Linked DNA regions of Oreochromis niloticus. The protein of the gene in region 1 purifies or fractionates together with the protein of each later gene. This does not show direct contact. Links are inferred from orthologs where the notes say so. Each region holds a gene or a part of one and is shown on either strand. Other genes may lie near its edges.

Region 1 (9,747 bases):
CAGCGGCTGTGTAACGTCTGAATGGTGAAATGCAGCAAACATCCTCGACCGAGGAGTAAAAACCTACCTGTGATGACCACTAGCTTAAAGTGGCTAAATGTCTTCCTTCTCTCATGATCGGTCAGTAAATGATTCTACTTATAAAATAATGTCACATATAAAGCTAGTGACTCCATGTACTGATGTGCTATTATTCTGTAATCAAATTGTGATGCCACTGTGGGGATTGTACAGCAAAAATGACAAATTAGGCAAACCTAAAACATAATTCCTGCTAGTTTATTCGATTTAATGTTCACTGCAAAGGGCACTCAGACATTTTTATATCGAGTTATCTTACAGTTTTATGGAGAACAGCTATAAAAGTTTTACTATGACACAGCTTGATGACAATGAGTTTTAGTGTCTGTGTTATCAGGATGATGAGGCCCATCTCATCTGATACATGTGGTTGCTTAAAAAGTAACAACCTTAAAGAGTAAGGATGTTTTCGTTTAAAACATATTTGTGAATAATCATAAACTATATTCTGAGACGACACATCACTGAGTTCAGAAGAATGAGAATTACAGAGCGGGTTTCATGACGATCACTTTCATGGCCCTTTGTAAGATCTCTGGAGTTAAAGTCTTTAGGATGTGTGTGTCCAAGTCTCTAATTATTCAGTTATGAACTTTTTGTTTGTTTGTTTTTCATCTGTTGAGTCAAAGTCCCAGATTATCAAATTAAAAAAAAGTGGACTGGCCCTTCACAACCTGGATTTCCCTGGAATGATTCACGGGACACACCTGAGGAGAAAAACCATACAGAAAGAGTGTTTGTATGAAAGGGTGTGAGTGGGTGAATGAGGCATGTTGTAGAAAAGGCTTTGAGTGCTCAAGCAGAGAACATAAGCACTGTATAAGATCCAGTCCATTTAATACCTACTGTAGTAAATGCATGGAATATTTTTCCTGTTTATAGTCGTTCATCCTCGATGTTATGGGTAAAAACACTTAGTTACAACTGAGCAAGCAGCAGTTTAGTGTACATACAATATTTTGCCACATTACCTTTGTGTATGCAGAGCTCAAATTACAGCAGTGACAGACATGAGACTGTGTGTGTGTGTGTGTGTGTGTGTGTGTGTGTGTGTGTGTGTGTGTGTGTGTGTGTGTGTGTGTGTGCTGGATTTAACATTCACTGGAACTGTAACAGTGTCATACTAAAACATCCCTCATTAGAATTCAACTAAAGAGTTCAGCACCTGCTCAGTGAAGCATTTTCATATGCTATGCTTCACCTGAGCTGAGGGGAAGTCAGCTGCTGGAATAGCCCCGTGAAGAGCAATGATGTGCATGAGGCCTTCAAACCACTTCCTGTCTGTTGGTTAGTCTACAGGAAGTCACATGATTGTTGCATGCTGCACAGACCTGCTTTGCGCTCTAATTGTGCTGTGTGTGTGAAGAAGAGCAGAGAATCAGTGATGGGACAGGCATATCGCCGGCTCACTTCTTCTTTATTCCTAGAAATAAAATGTGCACACAAAGAGAGAGATGATGGCTGAATATAGTAAATGAGCAAAGCTGTGATGTGTAATCTTTACTTGCACAGGGCTATCTTATATATGCTGAAAGAAAAACAACTACTAAGTTACGATGCACAAATCTGGCTTGACTTATATGATTTAATTTAATTCATGCAAATCCAGATTCTTCATTTTTACACACAAATGTATTAAGATGTTGCATTAAATGTCAAATTAATAGAATGCAATGATATTCAAGTCACTTGAGGCCTGAATTCAATTGATAAAGGCGCCAAAACCGCATGAAAATGATGAAAGGGAGATACCCATCACTGCATGGCAGCTCCTGTTCTGGTTTTGTTAGCATCTGGTAACCAAGGAGACCAAAGGAAAAACCTGCCCATGTTGGGCTCTTTCATATGTTTCTGATTCACAGTGCAACAACAAAATAAGGATTTGGTTTTATATGTTTCAGCATTACTGATCTTTTCACTGATGTTCAAGTTAACGGTGCCACGAGTACCAATGCAACTCCATTCAGCTCAGTAACAGATTGATTATCTTTATTTACTTTTGCTAATCTAACCTGCTGTTTATAGCTTCAGCATCTTGATAACGAAAGAGGAACAACAGCATTTCCAGCTAAGAGCACTTAGACACTCGGCATGTTAAAGTCAAAGGCCATAGTACTAGTAACTAATAATTTGGAGATTTGCAGAGTTCATGCTTGTTTCAGTAATGTGCATTGCTTAATCTGAAGGGTTAGAGCAATGGAGCTGCTCTTGTCCTCCCATCTTTGTAAGCACTGCGCCGCTGTCATTTCTCTGGCAACCTACCAAGCATGCTTCAAAGTTAAAACAAAATTAATATCAGCAGCAAGAATTAGTACCAGAGCAGTGACCTTAGTTACATGTTATCTTCTCCTAACATAGGTTTGGTTGTCAAAAGCCACTCTTATCAAAGAGGAGGCCTATTGTCATTGTGCCCAGCCCCGGGTCACAGATAACTCTGTGAGAAAGGAGAAGAGCCAAGTTTTTACCGAGTTTCGGGAAAACAATGCTCTTAACAAAAAAACACGACATCCCATGAACACGATAGCTTGCGACCAGAGAGTGATAGGAGCTTTAGGTCAAAGGTGAAAGTACAGGAAGTGCCGGGAGTCTCTCAAGGCTGTTACGGTGCTGACAGCAAGGACAGGCCATATGGATGTGGGCTATTAGGCCTTCCTTACATACTACTGCATCATTGAAACTGACACTGCAGTCTGGAGCCACCCTCCTTTGTAGCCTCAATCAGCGTGGTGGATCCGAGCCGTGATGAGAGACGGTGGGGTTGGGGGAATGTTTTGGCTACACAAACTTGGAATAATGCGCCACAAACATTTTGGCAAATCTGACAACATCTTTGTATGGTTTGGCACTGAGGCTGAGGGTGTGGACCTCTGCTCACACGGAGCAGCTAATTAATGACTGAATGGTAATTTGGGCCTAATTTGTGCCGCTAAATTGTTCCCATAACATTCCTTTGAAATATGAATTCTCAGCCTACTGAAAGTGGAGCTATGTGCTAAATACATTATTGTAACACAACATTGAATGTTTTCATGTCAAACATTGGCTTTGTACAGGCAGAAGCAGGGTACTCATATAAAACAAAGAAACCCCCAGAAGATTATTTCAGATCAAATTAAAAGAAAAAATGTAAAAGTCAGTAAAAGTAGTGCGCCAAATAGCAATGACTGTAAAACCGGCTGTCTAGTATTATTTAGATCCCTTCTGAGCCATCGGGGCCTGAACATGGGACCTCCGAGGATGTGCAGGGTCGTCTGGGATTGCAGGCGCCACCGGCTTGTTCCAGTGCACAGCGTGGACTGGAATCTGAGGAATTTGGAGCCAGTGTGACCGATGATTTCTGTCATGATAACTGGGCTGTTCCTGAGCAGTTTTTGCAGTTTGGGAATATCATCCTGCCAGGTGAGGCTGTGCTCCCATATGATTTTTTTTCCCATCATAAAATGTTATTTGGAGGAAAAGTGACAGACTGACGTGTGATACGTAGCCTGATTACAAACCAGAAAGTGCTTTAAAAGTGAGTACTGTGAAACAAACACTGCACAAATGGAGAGAGGCCCAGGCTGTGGTGATGTCATGCTATGTGCCTAAACCACTAAGAAGCTTCACTGCTGCATTCTGCACTTGGTGGAGGTGATAGTGAGCCAGAAAAGAGGAAGTCGCAGCTGTTAAGACTGATGTGGGGAAAAAATAACCCAAATATTATTTGCTGTTGCATTCATAACACAGAAGAACAAAGTGTGTGTGTGTGTGTGTGTGGGGGGGGGGTCCTTTGGAATGATCCACAGAAATCGATTTTGAGACGAGCTCCAACCTCTTGTCATTACTTTAAGGGTTAATTTTCAGCATGATGAAACATGAGTAAAACAGACAAAGTTGTTGTCTTTTTAAGGTGAAATTTCCTCTTTTTTTCTCCTTGACTGACGACAATTCAGACGAAACACAAACAGGAAATGTTGATGGGTCTGGAAGACAATCATTTTGACAGTACGCTCACACATTCAGGCCGATCATTTTCAAAACGAGGGTGCCTGCTTTTCATTTCAAACGTGTGTGTTCATCACACGTGTCATTATGTTTGCGCTAACCTAATCTTTGCATACGACATCTCTGTAATGTCTGCATGGTCAAGCTAAGGAACAGTTTGAGGTGCTCCAGTAGCCTGCACCTGTAATGTTAGGATCTGAAGATGGAGGATGAAAAACTATCTGCCACAGTATTAATGTATTTATTCACTTTGTCGCAGGAGAAGTGAACCTCACTCATGTGAACCAACAATTGTTTTCATTACTGACTAATCAATAAAAATGGCATTTTTGTATAATATCGCACCTGCTCTTATCTCAGAGTGTGCCCCTCTAATCACTTTTTCAAAAATCCACTGAACATAAAAAACTCAGTTAAAAATAAATAAATAAATAATTTTTAAAAAGTAGCAGAACCTCTCTTCCTAGCTTCTGTGGTGAATGTGCGTCTTGGTTGAAATGTTTGGGCTTCCCTTAAGGAGGACTGCGTTTGGCTGTTCGCTTCAGGAAAGGCAGCTCCACTACATTTTTGTGGGTCCTCTTTATTTCAGGGCACTGAAAATCCGTCGCCACCTTTCACCCCTTTAGCGCCGGCATTGTCGAAACTTCTTTGAGTTTATTATAGGTTTTGGTCAGACTTTTGGCCCCTGAGCTGGTTTGGCTCCCCACATGGGACATTCCTGTCGAGCAGCCCCTCCCTGGAAGTCTCTCAGTGCGCAGACTCGCGGCTCTCCGCTGTCAGGGCAAGGCAGACTGACAGTATGGCGGCGGGGTGCAGCTGGAAGGATGCTACTGTCGCCCGTGATGTGTCTGCTGCCGCCAGGATGTAAATGGACTATTGACGGCACAAAGAGCAGAGGATTTAGCGCGAAAGGCCTGTCACCGTGAGCCTCCAAGATGGCCAGGCTCGCCGACTACTTTGTTGTGGTCGGTTACGACCTCGAGAAGCGAGGTGGGTGTTTGAGTTAGCCAGCCCTGCTAGCTTTAACGGCGTATTATTAGCTGTGGGCAAACAAGAGGAGGGGAGGGAGGCGGGGACGGGCCAGGCCGCCGTTCACAACTAACCGACTTGGGCGCTGTCAGTTGGCTGCTAGCCCTCAACTTTAGACCGGGGTGCGCAGGCCTCACGGGATTAGTGTAGTTGAATGCGAGGCTGTCAGCCGGTGTGTCACATTTGTGACTGTAGAAGAAGCTGCTTACAACCGCCAACTTCCAATGGCGTTTTAGCTTCGGGAAAACAAACTGCCTCACTCCGTTGACAGAAAACTTGGGCTAACTTCATTTGCTAAAAGCTAACGTTAGAAGGACTAGAGTTGAGGGGGCTTTCAGTTTGCTCGGCTGAGACCTAAGACGGATTTATTCACCCGCATTTTGCCCGCTCTCTCTCATTTGCAAGCCTTAGAAGTGGCGTTTTGGGAAAAATGAATTTTTTTCAGGGGTAGCTTACCACAGGATGTGACAGCGACAGTCAGTGTTGTTGTGGCTGCAGGGTCCTGAATAGCCACGCTGCGTTGATGTCCACCTGGACTTGATCTAATCACTTTAATAGTACAAATCGATGCTTCTCCTTGCCGCAATTGCTTATTGTTTTCTTTGTGTGTGTTTTGTCTGGATTAACCTAGATGGCTTTGCCCCTCCCTTGAGCCCCCTCGGACCGGAGCTGTGTTCCCTTGCGTTGCTGGGACGGGGTTAGGACCGTTATCTGAGCCCCCCCCTTCAGCCTGAGCCTTGGCCTAGATCTGTGCAGTATAATGGCCCGTTTAATCATGAAATATTCAGCTCGCCTATCCAACGGAAGCATGCAACTTGTAACGTGGTTGTCTTTTATTTAGAGTGATTTTTTTTCTTTTGCTTATGATTTATTCAGAAGAGGCAAATTGTAACATGACGAGGCCCGTGTGGCTAAAAGCAGGCTCTGGACTGGCTTTTATCGTGATGCTGGGGTGGCCTACATCCCCTTTTCTGACACATGAATACATTTATTGCATCTTGTATTTTTCTTCCAGAAGGGGGGGAATACAGGATGTTATAACGTGGACGCTGCAAGCGCTGCAGAAACTCCCCTTCCTGTGCTACAGTGCCTGAATGCATTGCAGAGCAGAACATGCCAGTAAAAAGCATCTGGGAAGCAGACATTAAAGCCACGGTGGCTTAATGGATCAAACGCTCCGTGCCTCATAAAAACCAAACACTTTGAGGGTGATGATGATTTTTGGTGTGGCTACACTAATGTTGCCTTTCTAGAGCACCTTCAGTCCCTGCTAGGTTTCAGGCTGAAGGCGTTGTTGTTGTGGTAAACGTCCCCGTTTGCAACAAGGACGGTTTTCGCCTTCATCCACGTGCTCGGTGGGCCCATCTTCTTCTAGTTTCACCTGGTTCCAAATGCAAAGCTTCCACTGTTGTTTATTTGGAGATTTCTGACTTTACATGTATTTATGCAGTATTACTTTGCTTTCTACCAATGCTCCAACTACAGTGTGCTGGCACTAACTGATTGTAATGAAAAGACTTGGCTTCGCATCAACATTGAAAGGTCCTCGAGTATAAGAATACCAGGAATTCTGCAGTACAGTGGCGTTTCCTCCCGTGGCTAAATATTTCATGCATCCTGTCTACGTGTGTGCGTGTGTGTGTGCTTGTGTTAGTTGGGTGGTTGCTGCTTGTCACTCAGTTAGTGGAATGTTTTGCAAGCGTGGGCACTGACAGGTTGTGGGGCTGACATCATCACTGCTCATCTGCCTCTTAGAGGAACCATGTGGGTGTTTACAAACACGACGTCCATCTGTCAGATTTTTTTGTGTCCCTTTGCTGACTTTTAAACGGATGCGAACCCAGAGGGAAAAACCTGAACCTTCATCCCTCTGTTTATCTGGGAACTGTTCTGCTCAGCTAAGATGCCGCCTTAGACAATCCGTCGAGCCTTACTTAGAGCCAAGATGGCTGCCTGCGGCTTGGGAAGAGTTTGCAGTTGTCGCAGGTGTGGTTGTCCTAGAGAGGGTCTCTTGAAAAACTCAGCATGTCACAGTGTTTTGACAGCGGTGTGCCGAGTTGGTGACCAATTGGATTCACAGTCTGAGGACCAAACAGGAAGTTCAGGCGAAGAAGTCCCGAGAGAGACTTATGTTTAGAGTGAGAATCCATATTGTCCCCCAGTGCGTGTCTGAAAACCAGGAAAGAGGCGTGTTTGGTTTGAGCCTCTGTGAGTTGGTCTCATTCAAGACTCACAAACACACAGGCTCTATTGTAGTTTGTCTGTGCGCCTTTGGCACTCAGTTTGAGGGTGTTGGTCATTGTGGCGGCCCTAAACAGAATGTAGGATGGCTGTTTGGAGGCTGGAGTGACAGCTCTGGCAGCCAGCCTCCTTTTACGCACAAAAACATCTCCACAGCTTGCAGTCAAGAAAGGAGGACACGGAGAGGGGCACAGAGGGGATAACCGAGCATGAATCCGGGCTTGTGTGTGTCATGGTGTCTCTGTCACTGTCATACAGTCTGACCGTCATTGTAGAGTTGTGACACTGCTAACAGGACGTCAGTGGCATCAATCAGTGCACCGTGACTCTTGACTGGACAGGTTTGTAGCAGTGATTGTGGTGGAGATTGGGTTTAAAGTTTCATATTTCACCTCTGGCACCACTTTTGTTGCCACGACTCAGACTTGAACAAATGACTGAGACTGATGCATTATTTAGCTGTAGCAACGCTGAACTTCACATCAGTGATTTAGAGTGTAATTTTGAAACTATTTCCAGTATGTGATTACGCGTAGAAAACAATTTCTGTAAAGAAAGAACAAAACTGTGTTTTGGTTTCAGCGCTAAAGCTTGTGAATCTTATTGGTAGCAGAGCTGTGACAGAGCTTGTATCACTTCCTCTTCACACACCACGTGTATACAGCGTCTCTCCGAGACTTCATGGCCGTGTGATGATACTCGATGTGAAGTGTTGTTGCAGATTTTTGATAGAGCATTTAAACTGTTCACACACAATCCGGATGTATTTTAGAAATCACTCGGCAGCACTGCTTTATAGTCATATCTGATTTTTATATGAATGTCTGCAAAGCATTTAAAGGTGCAGTCAGTTGTTTTTTGAGGTTATTTGACAGAAAAAGGAATATTGTACTCATAAATATACATTTATTACATCTTGGAACACCTGATGTATTCTTATAAACTTGGAGTTGGTACATTAAAAATAAATAGAAGTGAGCAGCGGTTTGTGGAAGGCGCCATATTGTCCCAGCATCGTGAATACAGTGGCCGAGATAGATGTCACCGTTCCACCTCCTCGTGTGGTGGCTGGAGCTAAAGGCAGAAGGGAACAGAACATGTTCTTGTGCTGTGGAGGCAAATTTTGCATTCAGATTCAACATGTGAATAATCAGACCTGGTGTTTTGTCATCTGAGAAGGCGTCTTCACCAAAGAAGCAAAAACCAACAAAATGTCATAATCGTCTTCCTCCCCATCTCAAGCATCATCATCAGATGATGTAAAATAATAAAATAAATATTCTTCTGTAGCAATAACAAAGTATAACAAATTATTCTGTAGCAATTACACAAGAATATCCAGTAATGTCCCTGCCTACAATTAAACACATTCACTTACCGAAAATCGGGGGCATCTGCTGTGGCAAATGGGTGCAAGCCTTTGACCACAAACTTAGTCACTGCTCGGTGACATTCGTCTATCCTGGCCTGAAAGGAGACGCTACCGGTAGACTGCAGCGAGAACTGCCAGCCAGACTCTGTCTCTCTCATCATGGTCGCCTAAATGCACAGTAATGGCAGGTTTTGTAATAAGGCAGATCGCGCTAACATAATATGCACTGTTAGCTGATTATTTACCTGCTGTATTAACGGGAGAGGACGTGCAAACGTTACCGCTGCTGCTGGGTTGAGATTCACGAGTCCAGAGCGGAATTAAAAACATGACATTCATTTAAGGTCATCGCGTGTTTTGTGAGCAAATGCTTTTGCATATTCGTAGTGTTTCCTCCCTGAAATGAAATATCTACTTTGCAAGTATTGCAAGTTGCCCTGTTGTCATCTGTTCTCGTAAAGTATAACCAAACTTTTGAGCGTTTGAGCCGCTTAGGCGCCCTGCCAGGTAAATGATGCTCCGCAACGTGGTGACGTCATTCGGGGCGACTGGAATCGATAAGGGAATCGTTTGCAAAAATGGCAAATTGAAACAGTGGGAACTGGTTCTCAACAAGAACCGGGTTTCGATACCCATCCCCACATGTGACCTTCCCGTCTTCTGACAGCTAACGAGCCGGCTTAACAACAGCAACATTTGGTTACAAGTTAACAATATGCCAGCCAGTGTTAGTCTCGTGTTTTCTCAAATTCACACTTTCTCTCTGATTGCATTCTCACATTGTATGAGTTTATTCTTCAAAGAAAGTTTCACAGATCCCAAGAAATGGCTAACGGTGGCAAAACCAGCAGCGCTTAAAGACAAAGTGGAGAATATGCTCAACAGTTAACCTCAGTATGGCTGCCAGCAGTCAGAAGGGACTCTCACTGATTTATCGACTCGTCTCGCACTCCTGTCACAGTTTTACAGCCTTCAGAGCAAAAAGACGTTGACAGCTGTGGACAACAGGCTCTGCTCACTACAGGTGAACAGCAGCCAGA
Region 2 (9,966 bases), on another chromosome or scaffold:
GCGTTTGATTGCTATTATAGCCAATTAAAGCTTTTCTATTGATTATTGAGAAGGGTGTGAATTATTTTGGACATGATACTTTTTGCTCAAATTTAAATAAAAGCTGAGATATTTTTTTTTCCCCACAATGATGCCTCTTGTACATCAGTGTCTCCCAAAAGATAAGACTATGTCATTTCCAGTTAGGAAAAAAAAAAACTTGGTGGTTGGATAAAAGTAACTCAAAATTTGCCAGGGGTATAAATAATTATGGGCTTGACTGTACAAATTACTCTTCAGTGTCTCTGCAATGTGACATAAAGATCAAAAAGAAATAACAGTTCAGCAAAGCATTGCACAATGTTAATGTAACATGAATATTTCAAAAAGAAAGTTGCATACTGGAGGAAACACTGCCCCCTACACGACTGTCAGTCAGAATAACAACACAGCAGGCTCTCTGACTGACTGTGCACCGAGGCAGCCCTGATGGGAAGGTCAGTGGTCTGTTTTATAGCGCTCCTCTACTCTCAGCACTCATAGCGCTTTACACAACCTGCCTCATCTATCTGACGTTCACACTTTGATGGATGCAGCAGAGAGCAACGTGAGGTTAGTGTCTTGCTCAAGGATGGCATGCAGATTACACCTGCCAGAGATTGAACCACCAACCTTCTAGTTAGTAGGTGACCTGCTCTACAGCCACTCCAAATATAATGTATTTAGCAGCTTGATGATGGCTGATGGATAAAAATCAGAGTGAGTGGAGGAAGTCTTTGTGGGAGTCTACAAAGACTCTACATTTTCTACAGATACTCTGTAAAACATTGGAGTGTCACCTCTCTGGTGAGAAAGGAGCCTGAGTTAGTGCGTGAGATTGAGAGGTACTGATTACATATGTCGGGCTCACCTCAACGTATAGCTTGGGCTCCAGAACCAGTCTCCTGGAGAGGGGCTGGACTTGCTGTTGGTGAGAGGTGGCGGGCTCGGGTGGACAGTTGAGTATCCCCTCAGCTTGCTGCCTGTATGTAGAAGTTTTTCCTGGTGGACAAAATGGTTTGTTCCCTGTGCCTCCGGGTCGGGGAACAGGTCCTAACTGTTGTCTGGGCCTATGTGCCGAACAACAGTTCAGAGTACCCGGCCTTCTTGGAGTCACTGAGTGGGGTGCCGGAGAGTGCTCCGCATGGGAACTCTGTCATCTTAATGGAAGACTTCAACACTCATGTGGGCAACAACAATGAGACCCGGAGGGAGGTGATTGGAACAGTCTACCAGATCTGAACCAGAGCAGTGTTCTGTTGAGCGCACTTCTGTGTAAACCACAGTTTGTCCATAACAAATAGCATGTTCGAACATATTCAATTCAATTCAATTCAATTCAATTTTATTTATATAGCGCCAAATCACAACAAAAATCACCTCAAGGCGCTTTATATTGTACAGTATACCCTATAATAATAGAAAGGGAGAAAAACCCAACAATCACTTTGGAGCAAGCACTTTGGCGACAGTGGGAAGGTAAAACTCCCTTTTAACAGGAAGAAACCACCGGCAGAACCAGGCTCAGGGAGGGGCGGGGCCATCTGCTGCGGGAAAGTTTGAAGCCTAATCTTAAAAGTAGAGATAGTGTCTGTCTCCTGAATCCAAACTGGAAGCTGGTTCCACAGAAGAGGGGCCTGAAAACTGAAGGCTCTGCCTCCCATTCTACTTTTAAATACTCTAGGAACAACAAGTAGGCCTGCAGTGTGAGAGCGAAGTGCTCTAATAGGGTGATATGGTACTACAAGGTCATTAAGATAAGATGGGGCCTGATTATTTAAGACCTTGTATGTGAGGAGCAGGATTTTGAATTCTGGATTTAACAGGGAGCCAATGAAGGGAAGCCAATACTGGAGAAATCTGCTCTCTCTTTCTAGTCCCTGTCAGGACTCTTGCTGCAGCCTTTTGGATTAACTGAAGGCTTTTCAGGGAGTTTTTAGGACATCCTGATAATAATGAATTGCAGTAGTCCAGCCTGGAAGTAATAAATGCGTGAACTAGTTTTTCAGCGTCACTCTGAGACAGGATATTTCTAATTTTAGAGATGTTGCGCAAATGGAAGAAAGCAGTCTTACATATTTGTTTAATATCTGCATTGAAGGACATGTCCTGGTCAAAAATGACTCCAAGGTTCCTCACAGTGTTACTGGAGGCCAAGGTAATGCCATCCAGAGTAAGAATCTGCTTAGATACCATATTGCTAAGATTTTCAGGGCCGAGTACAATAACCTCAGTTTTATCTGAATTAAGAAGCAGAAAGTTAGCGGCCATCCAGGTCTTTATGTCTTTAAGACATTCCTGCAGTTTAACTAATTGGTGTGTGTTACCTGGCTTCATGGATAGATAGAGCTGCGTGTCATCTGCATAGCAGTGAAAATTTATGCTATGTCTTCTAATGATGCTGCCTAAGGGAAGCATGTATAATGTAAATAGAATTGGTCCTAACACTGAACCCTGTGGAACACCATAATTGACCTTAGTGTGTGAAGAGGACTCTCCATTTACTTGAACAAATTGGAGTCTATTAGATAGATATGATACAAACCACTGCAGTGCAGTACCTGTAATACCGACAGCATGTTCTAATCACTCTAATAGGATATTATGGTCAACAGTATCGAACGCTGCACTAAGGTCTAGCAGGACAAGCACAGAGATGAGTCCACTGTCAGAGGCCATAAGAAGATCATTTGTAACTTTCACTAAAGCTGTTTCTGTGCTGTGATGAGCTCTGAAACCTGACTGAAACTCTTCAAATAAGCCATTCCTCTGCAGATGATCTGTTAGCTGTTTGACAACTACTCTTTCAAGGATGTTTGATATGAAAGGAAGGTTGGAGATTGGCCTATGATTAGCTAAGACAGCTGGGTCTAGAGATGCTTTTTGAGTAAAGGTTTAACTACAGCCACCTTGAAGGCCTGTGGTACATAGCCGATTATTAGAGATAGGTTGATCATATTTAAGATTGAAGAATTAATTAATGGCAGGACTTCTTTGAGCAGTTTTGTAGGAATGGGGTCTAAAAGACACGTTGATGGTTTGGAGGAATTAATTATTGAAGTTAACTCAGAAAGATCAATTGGAGAAAAAGAGTCTAACTTAACATCGATGGTACTAAAAGTAGCTGTAGATAATATTACATCTGTGGGATGATTATTGGTAATTTTTTCTCTAATGATAAAAATTTTATTTGTGAAGAAGTTCATGAAGTCATTACTAGTTAATGTTAAAGGGATTGTTGGCTCAGTAGAGCTCTGACTGTTTGTCAGCCTGGCTACAGTGCTGAAGAGAAACCTGGGGTTGTTCTTATTTTCTTCAATCAGTGACGAATAGTAAGATGTTCTGGCTTTGCGGAGGGCTTTCTTATAAAGCAACAAACTATTTCTCCAGGCTAAATGATGATCCTCTAAATTTGTGACACGCCATTTCCTCTCCAGCTTACGAGTTATCTGCTTTAGGCTACATGTTTGAGAATTATACCACGGAGTCAGGTACTTCTGATTTGAGACCTTAGTTTTCACCGGAGCTACAGTATCCAGAGTCGTACGTAGTGAGGAGGTAAAATTATTAACAAGATGATCGACCTCTGTTGGAGTAGCATTCAGATAGCTGCTCTGCTCTATGTTGGTACAGGGCATTGAAGATGATAACAGTGGGTGGATTATATTCTTAAACTTAGTTACAGCACTTTCAGAAAGACATCTACTTTGATAAGGTCTACTCTCCACTGCTGTGTAATCAATTATTGTAAATGTTATCAGGAAATGATCAGACAGCAGAGGGTTTTCAGGAAACACTATTAAATGTTCAGTTTCTATGCCATATGTTAAAACAAGATCTAGAGTGTGATTAAAGTGGTGGGTGGGTTCTTTTACATTCTGAGAGAAGCCAATTGAGTCTAATAACAGATTAAATGCAATGTTGAGGCTGTCATTTTTAGCATCTACATGGATGTTAAAATCACCCACAATAATTATTTTATCTGAGCTGAGCAGTAAAACACACGTCATATCCTGTAGTATAGCTGATAATTTTATAAAAGCACAAAGTGGACGTAGTTTTCAAGTGTTAAAAATAGGAAAAACCAAAAGAGTATTGTCATTAATGCTCACTTCAATTCAATGTTATTTATACAGCGACAAAATACAACAGTTGCCTCAAGACGCTTTATATTGGAAGGTAAAGACTCAAGAATCATATGTCATTAAAATGTTAAAATCACCCACAATAATTATTTTATCTGAGCTGAGCACCAAATCAGATAAAAAGTCTGAGAAATCAGACAGAAACTCTGTGTAAGGCCCAGGTGGACGATAGATGGTAACAAGTAAGACTGGTTTCTGAGTTTTACAGCTGGGGTGGACGAGGCTAAGCATCAGGCTTTCAAATGAATTAAAAGTCTGTCTTGGTCTTTCGTTAATTAATAGACTGGTGTGAAAAATTGCTGCCACACCGCCCCCTCGGCCTGTGCTTCGAGGTTTCTGGTAGTTAGAATGACTCGGGGGTGTTGATTCATTCAAACTAACATAATCATCCTGCTGCAACCAGGTTTCTGTAAGGCAGAGTAAATCGATTTGTTGATCAATTATTAAGTCATGTACTAACAGAGACTTGGAGGAGAGAGACCTAATATTTAATAATCCACACTGTTTTACTCTTTGGTTCAGATGTGGAACCTGTATTGGTCGTTCTTTGTGATTTTTTATGTTTAAGTTTTTTGTTGCTGGTTTTTGGTTTGTTTTTTGTCTGTTTGGGAGCTGACACAGTCTCAATGGAGATGGGTTTTTGGGGGGGTAGCAGGAGGAGAGAAGCTGCAGAGAGGCGTGTAAGACTGCAACTCTGCTTCCTGCTTCATAGAGGTGTCCATAAGTGCATATGGCACCAGGACAGCCCAGGCCGCAGGCTGATGATTGATTTTGATTTATGATTGCAGCCATTGTTGCTGTTCCTCTGCTATTTTCTCCAGACCATGATTGTGCCTGCTAAACCTGCCAGACAGCACAGGTGTTTAAAAAAATCCAGAGATTACTAGTTACAAAAGCATGTTTTCCTCTTCCTGTAAAAAAGAAAAAAATATCATTTGATAGATTTTTCAAGTGTGGAGAAAAAGTTAAAACCAATTAATTGTCATTTCATTTATTACCCCAAAAGAAAGTAGTTCGTTTTAAGACAATTACTGATATTTATCAGGGTGATGAATTTTTCAGGTTGATGTTTAAGCTGGTTAGTAAAGCTCAGAGCTTTTGTAAAAAAGATATTGAAAGTCAAGAACAAATTTTCTTTATATATACGCTGTATGCTCTATCCTATGTTTATTATCAGTTGGCCTTGAAGAATGTAATACCTGTGTTAGAATCTTGTTGTAATATCTTTATTAAGCAGTTACCCGCGTCTCTGCCAGCAGTATGTAGAGTAAGTCCTGGTAAATTCAGACAGGTTCATTTAAGATAAAATATTTGGTTATTTGTTTATTCGTGTGTTTTTTTGTATTCTGTTATTATTTGATGAACACGTTTGATAACTACACCCTTTCGTGGCATTTTTCTCCTTTCCGTGTTGACTTCTTCTTCCTCCGCTGATGTGGCAGTTTGGTCTAAATGGCGACGCCTATCGGTCAGGACGGTGCTACAGCATCCTTAGCACTGGTAGAAGCTGTGGCGACGTCACTGCGAACAACAATGCTGCGGCTATAGATGCGACTAAGAGGAAGTGCAAACAACCAAACCAGAAGAAACCACTGCATGTGAGATCCGCTCTCGAGCCTCTGATTAGTTTCTTTACACAGTTCGGAGTCTTTAAAGAACCATTACAGCCCGCTGGGAGCGGACACTGGGATTACACCGAGCTTTAATTTCATCCGCATCCCTTGTCTGTATCAGAGGAAACCATCCATCTCCGCCCCCGGTGACCCAGAAACGAAGCAGTTGTGTGACAGATGGAGAAACAGGCCGGAGGTGCCGGCGCTGGGGACGGTGCAGGGGCGAACAGAAAGCCGTGGGGCTCGCCGACTTGCGGCGCGGCAGCCGGTGATACCCTGGACAGGTAAGCAGGCTCGCTAACGAGAAAACGTGACGCCGATGCCCAGCTTGTTACTTATGGTTGTCTCGCTTTCCCACTGTACACCAGTAACATGAAATATTAGTAGTATTTCTTCACACCTTCATCTCGGCATCGATCCACAGACCAGTGCTTGGGACAAACTTTCCAACGTGACAAAACACTCATCATGGAATGATGTAGCGTGTTACCAGTTCATTTCAGATTTGGAATGACAACATACAACACAGTAGCGATACACTAGCTGACAAAAAATAATAGGATCACGTGATTAACACAGCATATAGGAAATGCACAGGAATGGCCACGCAGCCTGCAGACACCGAGTTAAACATCCGTATCTGCCGCTCAGAGGAAGCCGCCACCTGAGGGAGATATGACATGATGTTTTTGTAGTTTGATAAAAATGTTACAATGTTGCTCCTGTTAAAACAATACCGACACTGAAACGTGGAGTTGCGTTGCGCTGGGTAGGAGCCATATTCTTTATGTATTATTTATGGTTATCATCGCCCCCCCCATTGTACTAAAACTGGAGGAAGCGTCACACAGTCGTAACTCCTCCCCCTTAACATTCCATGACATTCACACCACAAAGCTGCTCCAATCCAGACTGAGTCTGTCAGAGACACTGGTTTATCTGCTATCACTGACAAGCTTCATATGAGCTGCTTTTCCTGATATATTGTTCTTGGCTTAATATTCAGGACTGTCCAGGAGACGGGACCGTCTGTCTCCAGCACTCAGACAACCGCTGTCAAAGCCCAAAGACAGGACGTTGTACTGTCTGGCTTAGGATTGGGAGAAAAATCAATACAGCATAGTATCATCAAATTTTGCATGGAGATATTGCATCCAAAAAACAACATTTTATTAAATAAATGAAAATACTCTGTGAATACTACAAAAAAGTCTGACTTCGACTGACTGAAATCACTCGCAGAGAAATGCAGTTTATATCAGAGACAGATTGCATATAACTGGCAGCTTTACCCGGTATAGTTGCAGACTGGTACCAGTCTGATTGCAGACTCAGTCCATCAACATTTGTGGCAGCTTTTAGTGGCAGTGTTGGTTTTCTTAACAATCTCATTTGCTGTAAAAACAAACAACTGAAGTGAAGTAACTCTATTTTATTAAATAAAACAGACCTTGACAAACTTTGACTTTGAGGACATCATTTGCAGTTGAAAAAATATTAGAAAAATATTAGTTAATAATATTGTTGTTAATTACTACACAGGGTGGAACGTTCTCATATGTAACATGTAGTCAGCAGAACATCATTGTTGCTGTCAGATGATGTTTATCTGTTCAACACATTCATTTTACAGTGATGATGTTAAAAGTGGTGTGATAAAGAACTCAAAGAACTTTCTAACACAATTTATTTATTTAAAATAATGTATTCATTTATTTGTTTCTGTGCAACAAAAGGGAGAAAACTGAGCAAAAGTAAAATAAAGAACAATATCAGCCAAACTGTCATTCTGAGTATTAGTGTCAGCCTGAAATCTGGAGTTCAGCTTCAGTTCATTGTTTCACTCTGTGTTCAGTCCAACAGGTTCTCACGTAGAATGGTGTAAACAGCTAATAGCAGCCACAATCTCCAGTCAGATCTCAGGATCAGTCCAACCAGACATTGGGAGCAGGGACATCAAGGTAGACAACACACAGCACACACACACACACACACACACACACACACACACACTGCTGGCAGTGATTCTCATCAGTGTGTATTTTGTAACTAATAGGCTGGGAGAAGACCAGAGTTCATGGTAAGTCTCGGAGACTTCTCCTTGTGAGCTGCTTTGAGTGTGGGCGCCTAGTTTTGTCTGTTAAGTCAATATGAATGATTAAGTCTGTCGTCATTGTTTAGAGAAGCTACTGAGCAAGTTATCGACTGCTTCTGTCTGTCAGCGGCCTGCTCTCTGCAACCACCTCTCTGTAGCGAGGCGCATATTGGCTCATTCATATTGGTTTTTCTCTTTTAGACCTCAGATCAGTTAGAGGTGTAATGTTCTATGTATTGCACATTATATGCAATGTGCTTTGTTAACTAAACAATGCTGCTCATATAGATCTCTGGTAGTTTAGACAACCCACAGCAGGGTTTAGCTGTATTGTTTGCAAGTGTAATATATTACACTAGACCTGTAGAGAGAGACCAAACTGTGGCCCCCGGTTGTTTAACATTAGATCTTTGCAAACGCTGACAATAAAATATGATAAAGCAATTGTAAAAGTGGCACCCATCACCTTACTACATCTTCTACAGCTATTACGTTCCACCTGAGCAATAAGGCTGACAAATATTCAAAGAACTGGAGTTTTCCATCCCAAAATCCAGATTGGAACCAAACTCTGTGCTTAAAGCTGCTGAAAAGTCTGAGCTGAACAGTCTTAGTTGTGTTATTTCTTTGATAAGTTACATTTCCAGCAACTTATCACAGTTTTGATAAATGTAACCAGAGTAGCACAGACTTCACTGTCACCACTGTGGTATGTACACTGTCTGTGAGATGACAAATAGCTGCTGAATTTAAAAAGGCACCCCTCTGTGCACATCTAATGAAATGTGTGTAATGAATTCACCTCCACTGTGTCAGATCAAACCCTCCACCTCTGATTTAAGGCTCACTTCATTAGAACAAAGTTAGAAGCGCAGCTTTCCTGCAGCTTGTCTAAACTTGTATCGGCTGTTTGTCACTTGTTGTCTTTGCTTGAATTTTGAACCTCATTGTTTGGAGGTTGCTTTTGTGCGCTTGTCTATTTGCATCCTTCTGTTATAAACACAGACTGATGTGCCACACATTAAAGATAACCTTTGGGTTGAAACCAGAGTGTCACCTTAGTGCTTTCCATTTCATGTCCATGTGGTGTGTTTAACCTCCAGGTGTCCAAGAGGCTGAATCGCAGGGTAAGAGTTGTTGTCCTTTCAACACATTTACAACACAAGCGCACTGCACACACACAGGAGTTTTGTAGCGTGGGATAAAACAACAGCTGCCTCTTGACTGTGATTCTTCAGCAGTAGCATTGTGATACAGCAAGTGTTCAAATTAGACGAATAACTGTAACGGTGTTAGGACGTGCGCTGAATAAATATTGTATGTGATGCAAATTTGAGCAGTTTGCTACTGTGTGACAGTGTGTAACCAAATCAGCCTCCTGCTGCAGACGGACCAGAGCTGCTACTCCTCCCTGCTCAGTGTACTTCCTCCTTCCTGTTTTATCCCTCTGTGCCTTTCTTCAGCTTTCTTTTTTCTTTCTTAATTAAGTATGAAACTGACTCCATTATAATAGAGCAAAAACCAACCAGACAAACTGTAGTGCCTCAACAAGAAAATCAAATTAAAGAGGGGATTTTTTTTTTTTTTTGAGTGGACTCGCTGCAAATCAATTTCCCATTGGAGACATTAAAGTTAGCAAACAGTGTTTGCATGTGAAGGCCATCGCGGTGGTGGGAGCATCAAGCTGTGGGAATAATTCACTGTTTGACTGGGAATCATGCCAATGGGTGGAAGGAATCATGACTGGATCTGTGAAGCTCCTGAGCAAACCTAGGTCTGGATTGTTATAATAATAATAATACATTTTATTTATAGGCGCCTTTAAGAGCCTCAAGGTCACCTTACAATAGCACAAGAACAATAGCAACAATACAATATAAAAACATGTCAAAATAACATTTAGACATAAGGTAAATAAGAAAAAAAAAAGCATAAAAGTATAAAAACAAGTATGAAAGCTGAGCAAGGAAAAAAATGGACTAAGACAGATCAGGTCTATGCAATGCTGAATAGATGGGTTTTGAGACGTGATTTAAAAGTGGTGAGAGAGTTTGTGGTCTGGAGATCTGGTGGAAGTGCATCCAAAGTCTCGGAG

What was found. Proteins that work in one complex are often made in the same cells at the same time.
Region 2: the proteins of sbf1 (region 1) and mtmr1a purify together in Homo sapiens (affinity purification with mass spectrometry; 4 studies listed by BioGRID and IntAct, with this or other methods). This does not show direct contact. The link is inferred for Oreochromis niloticus from reciprocal best matches to the Homo sapiens genes SBF1 and MTMR1.

What each region holds. Positions count from the first base shown.
Region 1 is NC_031981.2:37,925,309-37,935,055, forward strand, and holds the start of sbf1 (myotubularin-related protein 5), read left to right. Parts: upstream 1-4,782; 5' UTR 4,783-5,000; coding exon 5,001-5,055; intron 5,056-9,747. UniProt on the Homo sapiens protein: Acts as an adapter for the phosphatase MTMR2 to regulate MTMR2 catalytic activity and subcellular location. Promotes the exchange of GDP to GTP, converting inactive GDP-bound Rab proteins into their active GTP-bound form.
Region 2 is NC_031967.2:2,852,066-2,862,031, forward strand, and holds the start of mtmr1a (myotubularin-related protein 1a), read left to right. Parts: upstream 1-5,645; 5' UTR 5,646-5,953; coding exon 5,954-6,060; intron 6,061-7,631; coding exon 7,632-7,737; intron 7,738-7,832; coding exon 7,833-7,856; intron 7,857-8,974; coding exon 8,975-8,998; intron 8,999-9,966. UniProt on the Homo sapiens protein: Lipid phosphatase that specifically dephosphorylates the D-3 position of phosphatidylinositol 3-phosphate, generating phosphatidylinositol. Could also dephosphorylate phosphatidylinositol 3,5-bisphosphate to produce phosphatidylinositol 5-phosphate.